Linked DNA regions of Mytilus edulis. The protein of the gene in region 1 interacts with the protein of each later gene in a pairwise test. Links are inferred from orthologs where the notes say so. Each region holds a gene or a part of one and is shown on either strand. Other genes may lie near its edges.

Region 1 (7,794 bases):
TCAATTGACAATTTTGGTCAAATTAACTTATTTGTAGATCTTACTTTGCTGATCTTTTTTGCTGTTTACAGTTTATCTTTATCTATAATAATATTCAAGAAAATGACCAAAAACTGCAAAATTTCCTTAAAATTACCAATTAAGTGGCAGCAACCCAACAATGGTTTGTTTGATTCATCTGAAAATTTCAGGGCTGATAGATCTTGACCTAATGAACATTTTTACCCCTTGTCAGATTTGCTCTAAATGCTTTCGTTTTTGAGATATAAGCCAAAAACTGCATTTGACTCCTGTTCTATTTTAAGTAACGGCGGCCATGTTTTTTGACGGATCAAAAATCAAAGCACACACTTTGTGCAGGATAATCTAAGGAACAATCATGCTAAGTTTTAACCAAATCCATTCAGTAGTTTCAGAGGAGAAGATTTTTTAAAGTTAGCAAATATGATGAACAAATTGTGAAAAATTGTCATTAAAGGACAATAACCCCTTAAGGGGTCAATTGACAATTTTGGTCAAATTAACTTATTTGTAGATCTTACTTTGCTGATCTTTTTTGCTGTTTACAGTTTATCTTTATCTATAATAATATTCAAGATAATGACCAAAAACTGCAAAATTTCCTTAAAATTACCAATTAAGTGGCAGCAACCCAACAATGGTTTGTTTGATTCATCTGAAAATTTCAGGGCTGATAGATCTTGACCTAATGAACATTTTTACCCCTTGTCAGATTTGCTCTAAATGCTTTCGTTTTTGAGATATAAGCCAAAAACTGCATTTGACCCCTATGTTCTATTTTAAGTAACGGCGGCCATGTTTTTTGACGGATCAAAAATCGAAGCGCACATTTTGTGCAGGATATACTAAGGAACAATCATCTTAAGTTTCATTCAAATCCATTCAGTAGTTTCAGAGGAGAAGATGTTTGAAAAATTGTTAACGACGACGACGACGACGACGACGACGACGGACGCCAAGTGATGAGAAAAGCTCACATGGCCTTTTAGGCCAGGTGAGCTAAAAATGCTAAAATGTATTTAGGCCCCTAATTCATCAACTGTTAATCCATCCCAACCTTCCTTTTGTGGTTATAAACCTTGTGTTTAAATTTCATGGATTTCTATTTACTTATACTCAAGTTATTGTCCTGAAACCAAATGTCTTCAGACAAAGACAACGCTGACGACAACGACGTGATACCAATATATGATTGCATATTTTTTTGGCAGTGGTATAACAATATTGTATGTTAAATGTGAGTACAAATATTTACTTATATCAAGGATTTCTATAATTTTAATTTAAGCAAAAACAAAGTCTAGGTTCCAAACTTGTTTGTTTTAGTGAACTGGCACCCGAGTTGAATGTTGTTTGAAAATATCAGTATCTACGCCTGCAGATTCTTGTATACGTTTTAACCAATAGGCAATTGAATTGTGCATGATATGACAGGTTTGTGAGGTTTAATAAAACTAATGGGCAGTTGATAACAATCATTAGAAGGAAGGCTCACTGTTTTATCAATGTACAAATGTAGTCTTAAGATACATTGAACAACTTTAAGATTCTCAGGGAATGAACTAAATGTTATAGTTGTGAACCAGTCTTCCTAGTCTTGGTAAGTTTTGACATTGAAAAATAAATTTCATTTGTATGAACATTCAAATAACTCATGTCCAGTTTCTGCATGTCTGACAATGGAAGCTGGCCAAATCAATATGTAACGATCCCGTGTTAAAGTATATCTCATGTATGAGTTTCTGTCTAGTCTCTGAATAATTAATGGAAGACACACTATTGTGAAGTTCCAATTAAAAGATATATAATGTGCTATACTTGTAGTCAGGTAACACGAATCACCGAATAGCACTGTTATTATCCGAATAACACTTGTAATGACCGAATAACACTTGAAATTTTAATATTAGTTCATATTGGTGACTTTTAAACATTGATTATTAAATAATAGTATATTATCGATGTATCTTATAACACAAAAATGTTTTTCAGAAAGCAGATAAGTTCATAAAGATCATTTTAAATTTAATGTGTACAGAGAACATGGTGTCCATTGTGATGTCCGTGGTCGTCATAATTTTAAAAGTTTTTAATGAACTTATCTGCTTTCAGCTGTAAATCATTTATAAGTCATAAAATACATCGATAATATACTTTTATTTAATAATCAATATTTAAAAGTCACCAATATGTGCTAATATTAAAAAGTGTTATTCTGTCATTACAAGTATTTTGAAATTAACAGTGTTTTTCGGTCATTCGAGGTACCACGTGTAGTCTGCAGACTGAAACAAATAAATTATATGCAATAAAGTTTGCTTTAGCCTTTAGTTTCATCTTCTTAACTTTAATATACATCATGTACATAGGATAACAATCCACTGAGTGTGGAAATATGAAGATACATGTAGATAGATAAATAGATCAAATGTTGGCACACCGACTTTTGCCTTTACAACTGTGGTCGAACTAGTCCTGTGAAAGAAACTACATGTGGTCGAACTGGTTGTGTGGCCGAAACGTCTCAAAAGACTTGAAGCTTCAAAAGAAAGGGTCATCAAAATAATTTTATTCGCATTTAACACGGGAAACAACTACTTGGGTGCAAGTGAAAATAATTTGTGTTGTTTTCAGAGTCAGGAAACAATAAAATTGACTATACTCATTAATTAAAACAGCATTTATAAGCGCAAGCCGCTTTGAAATCATTTCAATCAAAATTGCAAGTCAGGTTTCTTACCAAGTTCGCCATGTTGGTAAATTAAACTTCCTATCTTGCGCATTAAGTGGGCTTTCCCCAGTTACGAGATTTATCGTACTCAAACATGAAAAAGTCCGAAGACTCCGGGAACGGGGAACCCCTTTACTCAGAGGCTGATACTTTTACCTCCTGCGAGCTTTTAAATTTGTATTTTTCTTCAAACATTGTTAATACTACCCTTAAACTACATACCCTTAAACTACACATCAAAGCGGTTTTGGTAGATTCAGTTGAATATTTTTACGCTTTCTGTAATAGTTTGTGGGAATAATTATCAACTGAGTTTTTTTCTGATTTTGGGGAGATAATTGGATTAGCCAAAAGGAACTCCTTTGATATGCTTGATGAGAAAAACGTTGATAAATAGAAAGTGAAAATGACACATAAATCACACTAAGTCTGATTTTTACGTTTTTAGATATGGAATAAGTGTGTATTTAAATATAAATTGTACATTATCTTTTGATTATATGTTCATGGATATGGAAATTAGCTCTTAACTGCTTCAGAAAAAGTTTAAAGCACCTGAACATTTTTTTTACCTGAAAATGGATTATACACATTCAAAACATGTATGCTGTTTCGTGATTTTTTGGATAATATCAGTAGATACCTTTCAGAATCGTAAGTTTAACAATAAGTTATTTCACCAAGTGCATGTGCAATGTATGTCTTTTTATGTTGTGATGTTACAATATTGTTTCAGGTAAGGGTGAAGGTTGGTACAAATGTACATGTACCTATTAAAACGTTTAAACATACTGCATGTGTTTGCAACTGTCCCTAAGTCAGAAAACTGATGTTCAGTGGTTGTCTTTTGTTGTTGTGGTTCATATATATTGTGCAACTTGACATTAAATTGTTTCTTGTTTTTTTTTATAGATTAGACTGGCAGTTATCCTGTTTGAATGGTTAATTTATACTGGTCATTTTTGGGGCCCTTTATACATTTTTTTTTGTAGCTTGCTGTATGGTGTGAGCCAAGGCTCCATGTTGAAGACTGAACTTTGACCTTCAATGGTTTACAGTACTTTAAATATAAATTGTGACTTAAATGGACAATGATCATGATGATGCAGAGTTGTATAATTGGCACTCATACCACATCTTCTTATACATGTATCTACATTTTACATGCATACATTTTATATATCTAAAGACAAAGCTAAATGGAAACACTTAGCCTTTAATATAAATGTAAGTCACTATTTAAAGTGCATGCTTTTCATTGAATGCCAGCATCCTTTTTCAAAATTTCTTTCTGAAGTCATGTTTAGAATAAAATAAATGTACACAAACAAAAAAAATGTAGCAGACATACATGTATAAATGTGTTTTTATTTTACAAGTCATGAAATAAAATGTGTTCCCTCTGGCTGCAGGCTAACAAGAGGATAGTTTTCCTATGCAAGGCTGGTTTATAGAGATTACTATTATTAGAATAAGACACATACATTGTACATACCCCAATGTATCCAAGTGACTTTTGCCCATAGAAACTGTTATATTGATTGTAGGTCTTAAGTCTTTAATTTCGTAATTTCATTCACAATTTGTCTAGACATACATGTACATGTACACTCATTGTAAGAGCTTGACATACACTTTTGTACATACATGTACAGTATTAGCACGTGTCTGCTATATAGTTGGGGAGACATTGTATTATATGTCTCTGATAGTTAGTTGAATCCTAGTCTAGTTAATTTTGTCAAAGTTGTAACTTTAATCAATTCCATAAACACTGATAAATACCCCATATCTCTCTTATTTTTGTATCTGTAATATACATGATATATATATACAAGTTTACACTACATTGTGTGCCTTTAGCCACAGTAGGTCTAACCAAAATCATCGTAAACCTGAGAAATATACATACATTTGTGTACATGTACATGTATTTCACAAAGAGTATCTTTTTAAATGTCCAGTTTAAAAGTGAAATTTAACCATGTAAAACAATTATAGTTTACATATTTTATTGTTCAATATATACATGTATAAGGACAAACCAATTAGACACAATTTTTTCAAGTAAGAAATGTCTTCTCCAAGTGTATATTTACCTATACATGAACAATGTATATATCACATGATTTATTTTTTTTACATACATGTATATATACATGTATATAGATACATGTACATACACATCTTTTGCCTAATACTGATCATGAGACCACGTAGAACCACAGAGAATTATAAAACCTATTGAACTTTACATTACAACCACATACAAAGTACATGATAATAATAATAATAATCTTTATTTCAAGAGGGTATGCTCAATTAGTACAAACACTATTCTCCCTTGAGGCCCTCACACTCCACTCACAATGCAATTCACACAATTTCTTCATAACAAAGATAAACATAAGAAAACATAAATCAAAATTGATACATAGTCATTTAAATAATTCCTGGATTTTCAAGTAAAAACTTAAACCAGTTTGTTTTAAAAGTATTTATGTTTGACATATGTCTTAGTGCTTCTGGTAGTTTATTCCATAAAGTTGGGCCAGAATATGAAAAAGATCTTCTATATATGTGTTTGTTCTTGCCTTTGGTATATTAAGTAATTGGGTAGTATTTGATCTAAGTTGCATTCCATTTTTATTTGTAACATAGGAGATTTTGTTAGACAAATATTCTGGGACAGATCCATATAAACATCTATGAACATATAAGGCCTTGTGGTAAATTACACGATCAGTAAATCGAAGCCATGATAACTTTTTAAACATTGTATTTGATGGGGTATCATAAGGAAGTTCAAGAATAATTCTAGCTGCTCATTTTTGAAGTTTATCTAATCTATTTGTATTTTGGTCACTGGTGTTTCCTCAAATTGTACAACAGTAATCCAAAATAGGGAGAATATAACCATTAAAGTATAACTTTCGTGTTTCTAGGGGGAGGGATTTCTTTATCCTAGACAAAAGATTTAGTCTGGTACTGATTTTTGTGCACAAAGTGTCAATTTGGGCTGTCCACTCAAGATTTTCATCAATAAAAACCCCAAGGAGCTTTTCGCAATTAACATCTCTAATGTGTGAGTTACCAACAGTCAAATTAAGAACATGGTCTGTTTTTGCTAGTTTCTGTACATGTACATGACTTTTCTGACAGACATGCTTAACACCAATCTATTCTGTATGATTGTACAAGGGTATCTGACAATTGGCTGATTGTACAACATTGTACAGGTATCTGACAATTGGCTGATTGTACAACATTGGACAAGGGTATCTGACAATTGGCTGATTGTACAACATTGGACAAGGGTATCTGACAATTGGCTGATTGTACAACATTGGACAAGGGTATCTGACAATTGGCTGATGTACTATGTAACTTCTGCTCGACATATTGGTATTCAACTAGATACATCTTTAAAAACAATGGACAGAACTCTTAAAGCTTGTCGCACCTTGCGCTTGACAACGACATCAGTTATACGCCTTGGAATACACCCAGCCATTGTAAATCCAATTAATGTGCAAAGATTATACGTCAGCTCTGCTATCCGAAAGCACTATACGGTTGTGAACTCAGGGGAAAACTTACCTGCACTGAAATACTGATGCTTGAAAGAACTCACCACTATATTTGTAAATTTATACAAGGTTTACCAAGAAGAACAAGAAGCGACATGTGTGTGTCATTATTAGGATGGCTTTCAATTGAAAGTTTTATATGTGAACGAAAACTGTTGTTTTTTGGAAGAACATGTCGCCTTCCATACTCAGCTGTCTCATTCCGTATTCTTCTCCGTAGACTCATTGATGCTAGATATAATCAATATGACACAAGATCAGGTTTCGCTTGTGACATTATTAAAATACTCACAAAATATGGTTTATCGAAATATCTAGATCAGTTTCTCAATGATGGACAATTCCCAAGTTCGGCAATTTGGAAATCGGTAGTCAAGACGTCAATTTACCAGGTTGAGGTAGTAAAGTGGCATCATCGTATGGCAGTGGATCCTGATTTTGTTGTTTTCAAAGACATTCACTCGTTTTGTGTACCGCATGCGGCGTGGAGAGTAGCACTGCGTCACCCACTGATGCGCAGACAGGCCCATTTTGTAACATCAACGTGCTGTCTTATACGCGAGAACTTACAAAACAACAGAATACTGTGCGATAAATGTGGTAAACTTTTTGATGATCCTTGTACTCATGCGATACTATCATGTGACTATACAGTTGATGCTCGAGATCAATTTTGGAGGAGTGTTATAGACATAAACCCGATTTCATTTAGTGTTCACTTAGGAAATATGACTGACAATAAATTGCTTAATTGTATTCTTGCCTGTGACACCGATTTTGATCTACAGAATAAAGAACGTGAACAGTTTAACTTCACGTGTATGAACTTTATCTACAATTCTTGTAAATTGTTACAGAACCGCAACTGCTGCTAGAAGTACATAAACTATCTTCAAACTGTAATGAACATATAACAGGCTATTATTTAAACTTGGAATTATTATTAATTATGGAAATTTTATAATTTCTTGTGCTTGAAATTTCTAGTAAATTCCTTGCTTATTCTGTACTTCAATGGTCTGTGCTGCGCACAACACTTTCATTTACAAAGAAGATAGTACATTTTCAATAGAATGTACTGTGCCGCGCACAACACTATCTATACAAAATACATTATATGGAAAGTGTTATGAACTGCTCAAAACAAAATTATACCAAATAAACATGGAATTTATTAAAAATTTCCAGCACAGAAAATTTAACAAATTCCATAATTAAAAATAATTCCAAGTTTAAATAATAGCCTGTTCTATGTAAATAATTGAACTTTTCGTTGTGATCTCGTCTTTATTGACTGTCTCTGTGTAAATCATAACTCGTGTTGTTTGTATATGATTAATTGTAATTGTCTTTGCTTTGTTTCATACTCTCCAATAGGAGGCAAATAAAATTATATATATCTGACAATTGGCTGATTGTACAACATTGTACAAGGGTATCTGACAATTGGCT
Region 2 (7,269 bases), on another chromosome or scaffold:
GCATGAGGAAATGAAGGATTTCAAGAAATTGTATATAGTATCAACTTTCGGACCTTACAAAAGTCAATCCTAAATTACTTACTGGAAGTTGACTATAAAATATATTTAGAATGCTTATCAAATCTACTTCAAATATACTGATGCATTAAACATGTTAAATGCATATATGATTGATTATCATGTATATATTAGTTATTGGCAGTTTGTATTCCACACCGTCAGTAACCATGATAACATACATGAATGTATTTGTGTTTACACTTACCCAGTGGTAGTTCTTGAATCTGCGCCAATTACTACACCTCCATCAAATTCAACGGCCATAATTGTTGTCTGGAATTATAACATGCATCTTTTATAATTATATCGTCAAAATTAGCTTAAGAAACAATTGGACATAACAAGGAAACAAACCCCCAAAGATGACTTGTAACACAGAGGTCTCGGGTTCAAGTCCCAGTGGACAAATTGTGGAGACTTAAGATGATTTTGTAAGAATCATGCTCTCTAGTAACATTGGTGCCTAACACTGAAAAACCCACAGTTGGAAGAATTACCAAGTCGGCCCAGGGAATTATATATATAAAAAAGAAGATATCATTATAGAGTATAATGACTTGAAGTGGTAAAAGGATTGTTTCCCTGAATGCCTGAGTAAATGTGGTAGATACCAAGTCAGCCATAAATTCTTCTTTTGCTCAGTAGGTTTATGCGCTGCCTGGTAACACGGCATAGATGTCTGAGGTTCGAGTCCTACATGTCCTAGTTGAAACAAAGATGATTTTGTAAAAAGAAACAAATATCTACTCAAAAAGTCAAATTTTGAAAGTTCACACACCCAAAATGAGAATGTTTCCTCATATTCTGACATAGATCTCAATGTCAAACGTTAACTTTACGAGTTTTATGTAGATGAAACGCCTATCTGGCGTACTAAATTATAATCCTGACCAATACCTTTGATAACTATTTATCAATGATAAAACCTTATAACTCCTTATGTTATTATATGAATGTGAAATAAATTGATTTTAAACACAAAAGTTATTTATAAGTCAAAATATAAATATTCATCTCTGTACTCTCTGCTCCTTCTAGGGATAATGTTTCAAGATAGTGTTATTTTGTTGGACAGTCTGTTCCTCAATTTTGTCTTTATCCTCTTTAGGGTTGAAAACCCCCTCTCACAATAACTTTTGGTTATACCCCCTTTAACATTTGTAAGCCATGAAAACTCAGTCAGCCACTTGTCATTGAAACCAGAAACGGTGCTTGCTGTTATCACTTGCTAAAACTTTAGCTAGGTTGGGATTAGGAGAAGCAATGACATCTGCTTATACTGACAGCGAAGAGGAAGGTGTATTCCCCTTTTCATTAGAAGTCATTAGGCTGAGAGAAAAAAAACTTCTACTTCCATCATCTGCCTTTTGCTTAGAAGTCACCCTTTTGTTATTTGCAGAAAACATGTTCATTCAGAATTAATAAAATCGAATATGGTTAAGATATTTGATCATATTTGGTATACAACTTTTTAAAAAAGAACAGCTGACAAGTTTCCGTAGTTTTACATTACGCTTCCGTGTGTATTATTGTTAAAACCTATCTCTGGCAGGTAGATATAAACGAAACTTTGCAAGTTTTTTTTAAAGTTAAGACCATTGAAATTATCAACTAGTGACATTATATAGAAGCTGCAGCAATTCCGTACCCGTGTTGATTGTCACATATTTCCCGACGAACGGAATTTTACGATCGATGTTCAATGATCATTTTATTTCTAAAAACACGACAGTTTGAGACAATATACCTTGCAAGTAACATTTTTTCACTTTATAGTAAAATGAATCACTTCTCTTTATCTTTAATCAAAGTTTATTTTATTTTTTTCAATTACAAATACTCTCATTCATAATTTTTCATCATAGCAATGTGTATTCAAATTTATCACGTGTATTCATCACGTTCATTGGTCGTGTTAAAATAGATTCTTCTTCTCGACCAATGAAAAAATTCGTTATTTAAATGGTCAAGTGATCACACACACAATGCGTAAATACAATGTACATTTTATGTATTTGCGATCTATTTCTTCAATTTCTGCACTGAAGTTTTTATTTTTTTAAATTTTCTTCTACAAATATCTATCTTCTTGATGATCATGTACGCTATTACATGATAACATAGTCCGATAAGGCTGAGATAAGCGTGCCTCAGGTAAAACTAATTATCAGTTATTGCGTAACACTGACCGACCTCACAGCGGTGATCAGCAACTACACAATTTTAACCAACATTTATAATGAAATTGTGAAAATTAACACGCTGCGGGATCAAGTATTAAGGGACAGCGGACAATTAAGACGCTGCGGCATCTTCGAAAATATTATGAAGGCGTTGCATTGCCGCAGCGTCATATCGGCCTGGGGAGAACACTGTCTTCTTTGTTTCTGCAGTGGGTTGCTGTCTTTACATACTGAGGTTTCAGAATCAAATCCTGCTGATGGCTGTTACTTTAGTTTAATAATAAAGTAATGCAAAATTGAGATTGAGGAAAGCTGTTTTTCTGATTGTATTGTGTTGGTAGGCAGCAAAAAAATAAGTTATAAAATCATAAATCCTAAAAATTAAAATTTAGATAATTTATTTCACATCAATGAATAATCGGATGTACTTTAGACAATACAATGAGATACATGCTGCTTCGTAAAGTGAAGGACTACAAGAAAAATGTTATATGGGGAGAATACAAAGCATTAGTAAACTAAGAGTACAAGAAACGATTTTTTGAGAAACTCATCGACGGAACTGAGGCTTGTAACTTTTCGTATCATTGTGGACATACTTTATAAGCTTCATATAAACAAGTTAACAAGGTAACAAGTATCATTTACCCCTGTTTCATGTTCTGCATTCAGCCAGTCTGGAATAGAAGGCGAATACATTCCTGCCGGTGAAAAGTTGCTAGTCATCGTTGCCATTTTCACAAATTTTAAAGGGAAATAACTCTGGTTAAAAGAAACAGTTAAAGACCGTTTATAATATTGTGAAACCTAGTACAACAATGTACTATTAAATTGTAAAAAACTTGAAAAATACTTTGTTTTGCAGGATATTTTTTGTAAATGGTAGTGCAAATTAAGTGGGTGGGGATGAATTTTGGAAAAAAAACAATGAAATTGTCTCAATTTTGTTTTTGTGTTAAAAAAAAAAAAAAAAAAAAAATTAAATGGTTGTCTCCCTTGACACAATATGTGAAAAATACTTTAAAAAGAACTTGCACTACATCAAAGTTCTATTGTAAGATATTTTTCTTTTTAACTTTTACACATCGAATAATTATCTGCACCAAAGATAATAATCTACCCAATAAATATTGTTAACATTGTGATTATAAGTGACTCTTCTTAAATTGCAAATATAAGTAGATTGTTTTTCACCTATTATAGTAATTATAAGTAGGATTGTTTTTCACCTATTATAGTAATTTATATAAGGCAAATATAAGTAGATTGTTTTTCACCTATTATAGTAATTATAAGTAGGATTGTTTTTCACCTATTATAGTAATTTATATAAGGCAAATATAAGTAGGATTGTTTTTCACCTATTATAGTAATTTATATAAGGCATTTTTCAAAATTATGCTGAATTTACTGGGGTATCTTTGTTTCAAATTTTTATCCTGTTCAATACAATATACGTACAGTTAAAATACCACATAACATTTCATTCATATAAGATAATAACTATCACCAGAAGTATAAATTAAAATGTTCATCCCTTTTTTTTCTGTTCACAAATTTTCAAAATATTTTATATAAATCTTAAGAAAGTCAAATTTAGCTAAGTATTAGTTTTGTGCGGACTGCAAGTTATTATTATTTAAAAGAAAATATATTTTAAATCTTATAATTAAGACTTGATGTGTGATTCTGGTGAAGGAATATATTGTCGACATACTTGTATTGTGTACAGACTGTATTATATTTCTATTGGTGATTGGATTTATATTGGATTTATTACATTGTACTGAAGGTGTACATATATTGGCAGAATATATGAAGATACAGAATACAGAATAGAAACACTAAATAAAAAAATATGCGTACAGTTGTTTTGAAACACCTAAGACTTAAAAAATATTTACTGCAATGAAATGTAGGGTTTGTATTCCTACAAGACTTCCTAATTCAAGGGATATATATATATTTCGGCCCTTTTTTTTATATGAAACAGGATGTGATGTACTATGATTTGGTGGTATGACACCTGTAGCTACATCAATTATTGCCAACCCCAAATTAAACTTTAAATCACCCAAGTTAGAAAAGTTAATTGAAAGAAAGATAGGTAACAACTAATTTGAATGTGATTGTTTATATTCAATAGAACTCTTTAATGAACTAATTAATAACTCTACGTGTTTTGACGCTGTTGGTTCAAAAATTCTTGAAATATTAGTGCTCCATTGATTTAGGAATCTAGTGTGCATATTTTTTTTATTAATCTAAGCCTTTGCAGTTATTTTTCCATCAACCTTTATAATTATATGCAAGCTAGAGTACCCTTATCCATGAAAGTGGCGATGTTACGAGATGAACAACTGTAGACCAGCATCTTTACTTTCAATGTTATCAAGAATTGATAGAATTTGATTTGATTTATAGGTAAGTCTTGGTTTAAAAATTATAGCCTTCCTTGTGAGTCATCTCTAGACCGTGATAACATGCTATGCATGCTTAATTGTATTCACAATGAGCTGATAGATATCAACAAGAGAACTTACTTCAAAGGTGGCCACAGTAGAGGTCATGATGATTGAACACACAAGTTTTAACAACAGAGGATCACCAGTGAAGTCTAAAGGAACTCTTTCTTTCCAAGAACAATCATGAAATGGAACATATTACATGCCAAGGACTTAGGTTGTTGAAAATTATAAGTTGAAGATTTTCACTCATGGCAACAGACAACACATTAATACCAGACTCAACGATTGTACATAATTTTAATCGTATCAATCTGATTTGATCGAATACTGTATATAGCCTTAGTGGAATAGATTTGTAATGTCACCATGTGTAGTCCTGCAAAGTTGAAACGTTTCATTTAGGAACCCAAATCTTATATGAATAGTTTAAGAACTGTTAATTAACCTAGATCAAGGAAATTACACAATATAGAGAAGTCTTTTTTTTATATTTTTTTTTTTATATTGTTTCATTACTCAATAGTATTATCAAAATTAGAGATGTACAAGGCTGATATACTTTCTTTTAAATCATATCTATCCAACAGGTCTCAATTTGCTCTTGCATAAGTAATTTATAAAGTTCAATTTGAATTACTTGATCTGCCTCTTGAAGATAAAAAACACCAGGAAACAAATGTTGTTTCATTATGTCATCTGTTAATTTGGCCAACAGCATTGCTCATTTAGCTTATAAAACAATAAAAAAGATTTAACATAATACTATGCGCCTATGTTGGTTCCCTCCGTTAAATATTCAGTATGCTGATTGCCTTCCTATTATCAAGATTTTTAATAACAGCCGGGTACCAGTCGACTGTGTGCCCTTCTGCTTATTATCACATTTGAGTTCATTGAACCATGAAATCAGGGTTAAACCCTAATTTGGGATATGATTTACAAAGGTAACATCAAAATAAACATGTGCCCTAATTTTCATGTTAATGTAACCACAACTTATATAAGTAAACCACCTAAAACCAAAACTCTGAACTTAGAACAATAAGATTTTAGACAATCACATTTCCATGTTCATTATTAACTGCTAACCCTGGCTCTACACCAGATAGCATATATTTTAAAAGTTTACATCATAAATAAACATATACACCAAGTGTCATACTGATTTCAACTTCACATTACACTACAACTTAACCCAAAACTTTTAACTTGATAAGGAAACAACAAATTGACACAGGTTGAAAAATGATATGTAGGCAGGGCATAACAAGATTTTAAACAAGTAATATAGTTTTGAATTTGGCTGATTTTACTAATTGGTGGATATTTCTCATCAAAAATAAGGTTGAAGAAAGGAATTCAGCTATTTTGCATTGAAAGATGCTGTGTGTCTGACCTATAACTTTGTACTAAAAAAAATGTTACTGATGAAAACTAAACATTTATATTGCAACAGTATTTCAGCAAAAAAATCCAAAATATAATAAAGGAGATGTGGGGTAAATTAAAAGACACCTAGATGTCAACATACAGTCGGTCTTTAACAATAGACAATTGTCTATACAACATGTCACATCTCTCTAAATATACAATATAAGGTCAATGTCAGAAAAATATAAACTTTTCTATATGAAGCTGAGAAACTGAGGAAGGGAGAGGTTGTACCAAGCAATTTTCCAGTTTTGTGCCAAAAATCACAAAAAAATTAAACTGACTATATAAACAGTTTGCCATCACCACCCAAATACAGCTAGATTGAATTAGCTAATACTAGGACAGAAAAATCTTGTACATTCCTCATCAAACTTAACCTATAGCAAAAAAAATTCACGCAAACCAAGTGCTATAAGTACTGTAAATTCAGAAATTATAGCAATGGTTTTATTATTGTGAAAAATGCAAAAGGGTTATTATAGCCATAATTTAAACTAGAAATTTGCTACATGAATTAAACAGGATATTTCTCAATATTGCAAAAAATAAAATCACATTTTAAACTAAAAATGACAAAATCGCAATAATATATGCACACAATAATTTCTGTACTAAGTATTTACAATACTGTAATGAACTTGCAGTAAGATAAATGTTACTTTTGAGAGGAAGAAAAACATTTATAGCACTTTCCCTTTTCTTTAAATTTTATCAGTTCTTTTTTTGTCTTGAGTTAAGACAACATATCCATTTTTCATTTCACTGACAGAGGTAACTTTTTCTGCTGAGAGGAGATAACAAACACTGTTTTTGTTTTTTTAAGTATTTGTTGTCTTCCTCTTTTGAGTTATGACATAGTTATTTATTCTAGAGATAACTTGTCTTTCTTCTTCACTTTACAGGTCTGTATGTTGTCAGATAGAAACTGCTATTTGAATTATTCCTACATTATTTTCTGCCGATCTACCCAACAAATTCTTTATGACGTCAGTGGTTGAAGAAATATTGCACAGAGATTTTTATACACGCTATGACAATAGTTATTAGGTTTGTTTGACATTTTTGTAATTTGTTTATGTTTTGCTGTAACATTATTTTGACATTTTAACCTTTGATGTCTGTTT

What was found.
Region 2: the proteins of proteasome maturation protein-like (region 1) and proteasome subunit beta type-6-like interact in binary tests that used the Homo sapiens proteins (3 or more experiments, as listed by UniProt). The link is inferred for Mytilus edulis from reciprocal best matches to the Homo sapiens genes POMP and PSMB6.

The regions. Positions count from the first base shown.
Region 1 is NC_092351.1:6,550,799-6,558,592, reverse strand, and holds the start of proteasome maturation protein-like, read right to left. Parts: upstream 3,005-7,794; 5' UTR 2,990-3,004; coding exon 2,975-2,989; exon of another isoform or gene 2,774-2,974; coding exon of another isoform or gene 2,762-2,773; intron 1-2,761. Other genes in the region: vascular endothelial growth factor receptor 1-like, read left to right, coding at 3,331-3,406. UniProt on the Homo sapiens protein: Molecular chaperone essential for the assembly of standard proteasomes and immunoproteasomes. Degraded after completion of proteasome maturation. Mediates the association of 20S preproteasome with the endoplasmic reticulum.
Region 2 is NC_092356.1:29,851,210-29,858,478, forward strand, and holds the start of proteasome subunit beta type-6-like, read right to left. Parts: upstream 3,024-7,269; 5' UTR 2,979-3,023; coding exon 2,892-2,978; intron 334-2,891; coding exon 266-333; intron 1-265. UniProt on the Homo sapiens protein: Component of the 20S core proteasome complex involved in the proteolytic degradation of most intracellular proteins. This complex plays numerous essential roles within the cell by associating with different regulatory particles.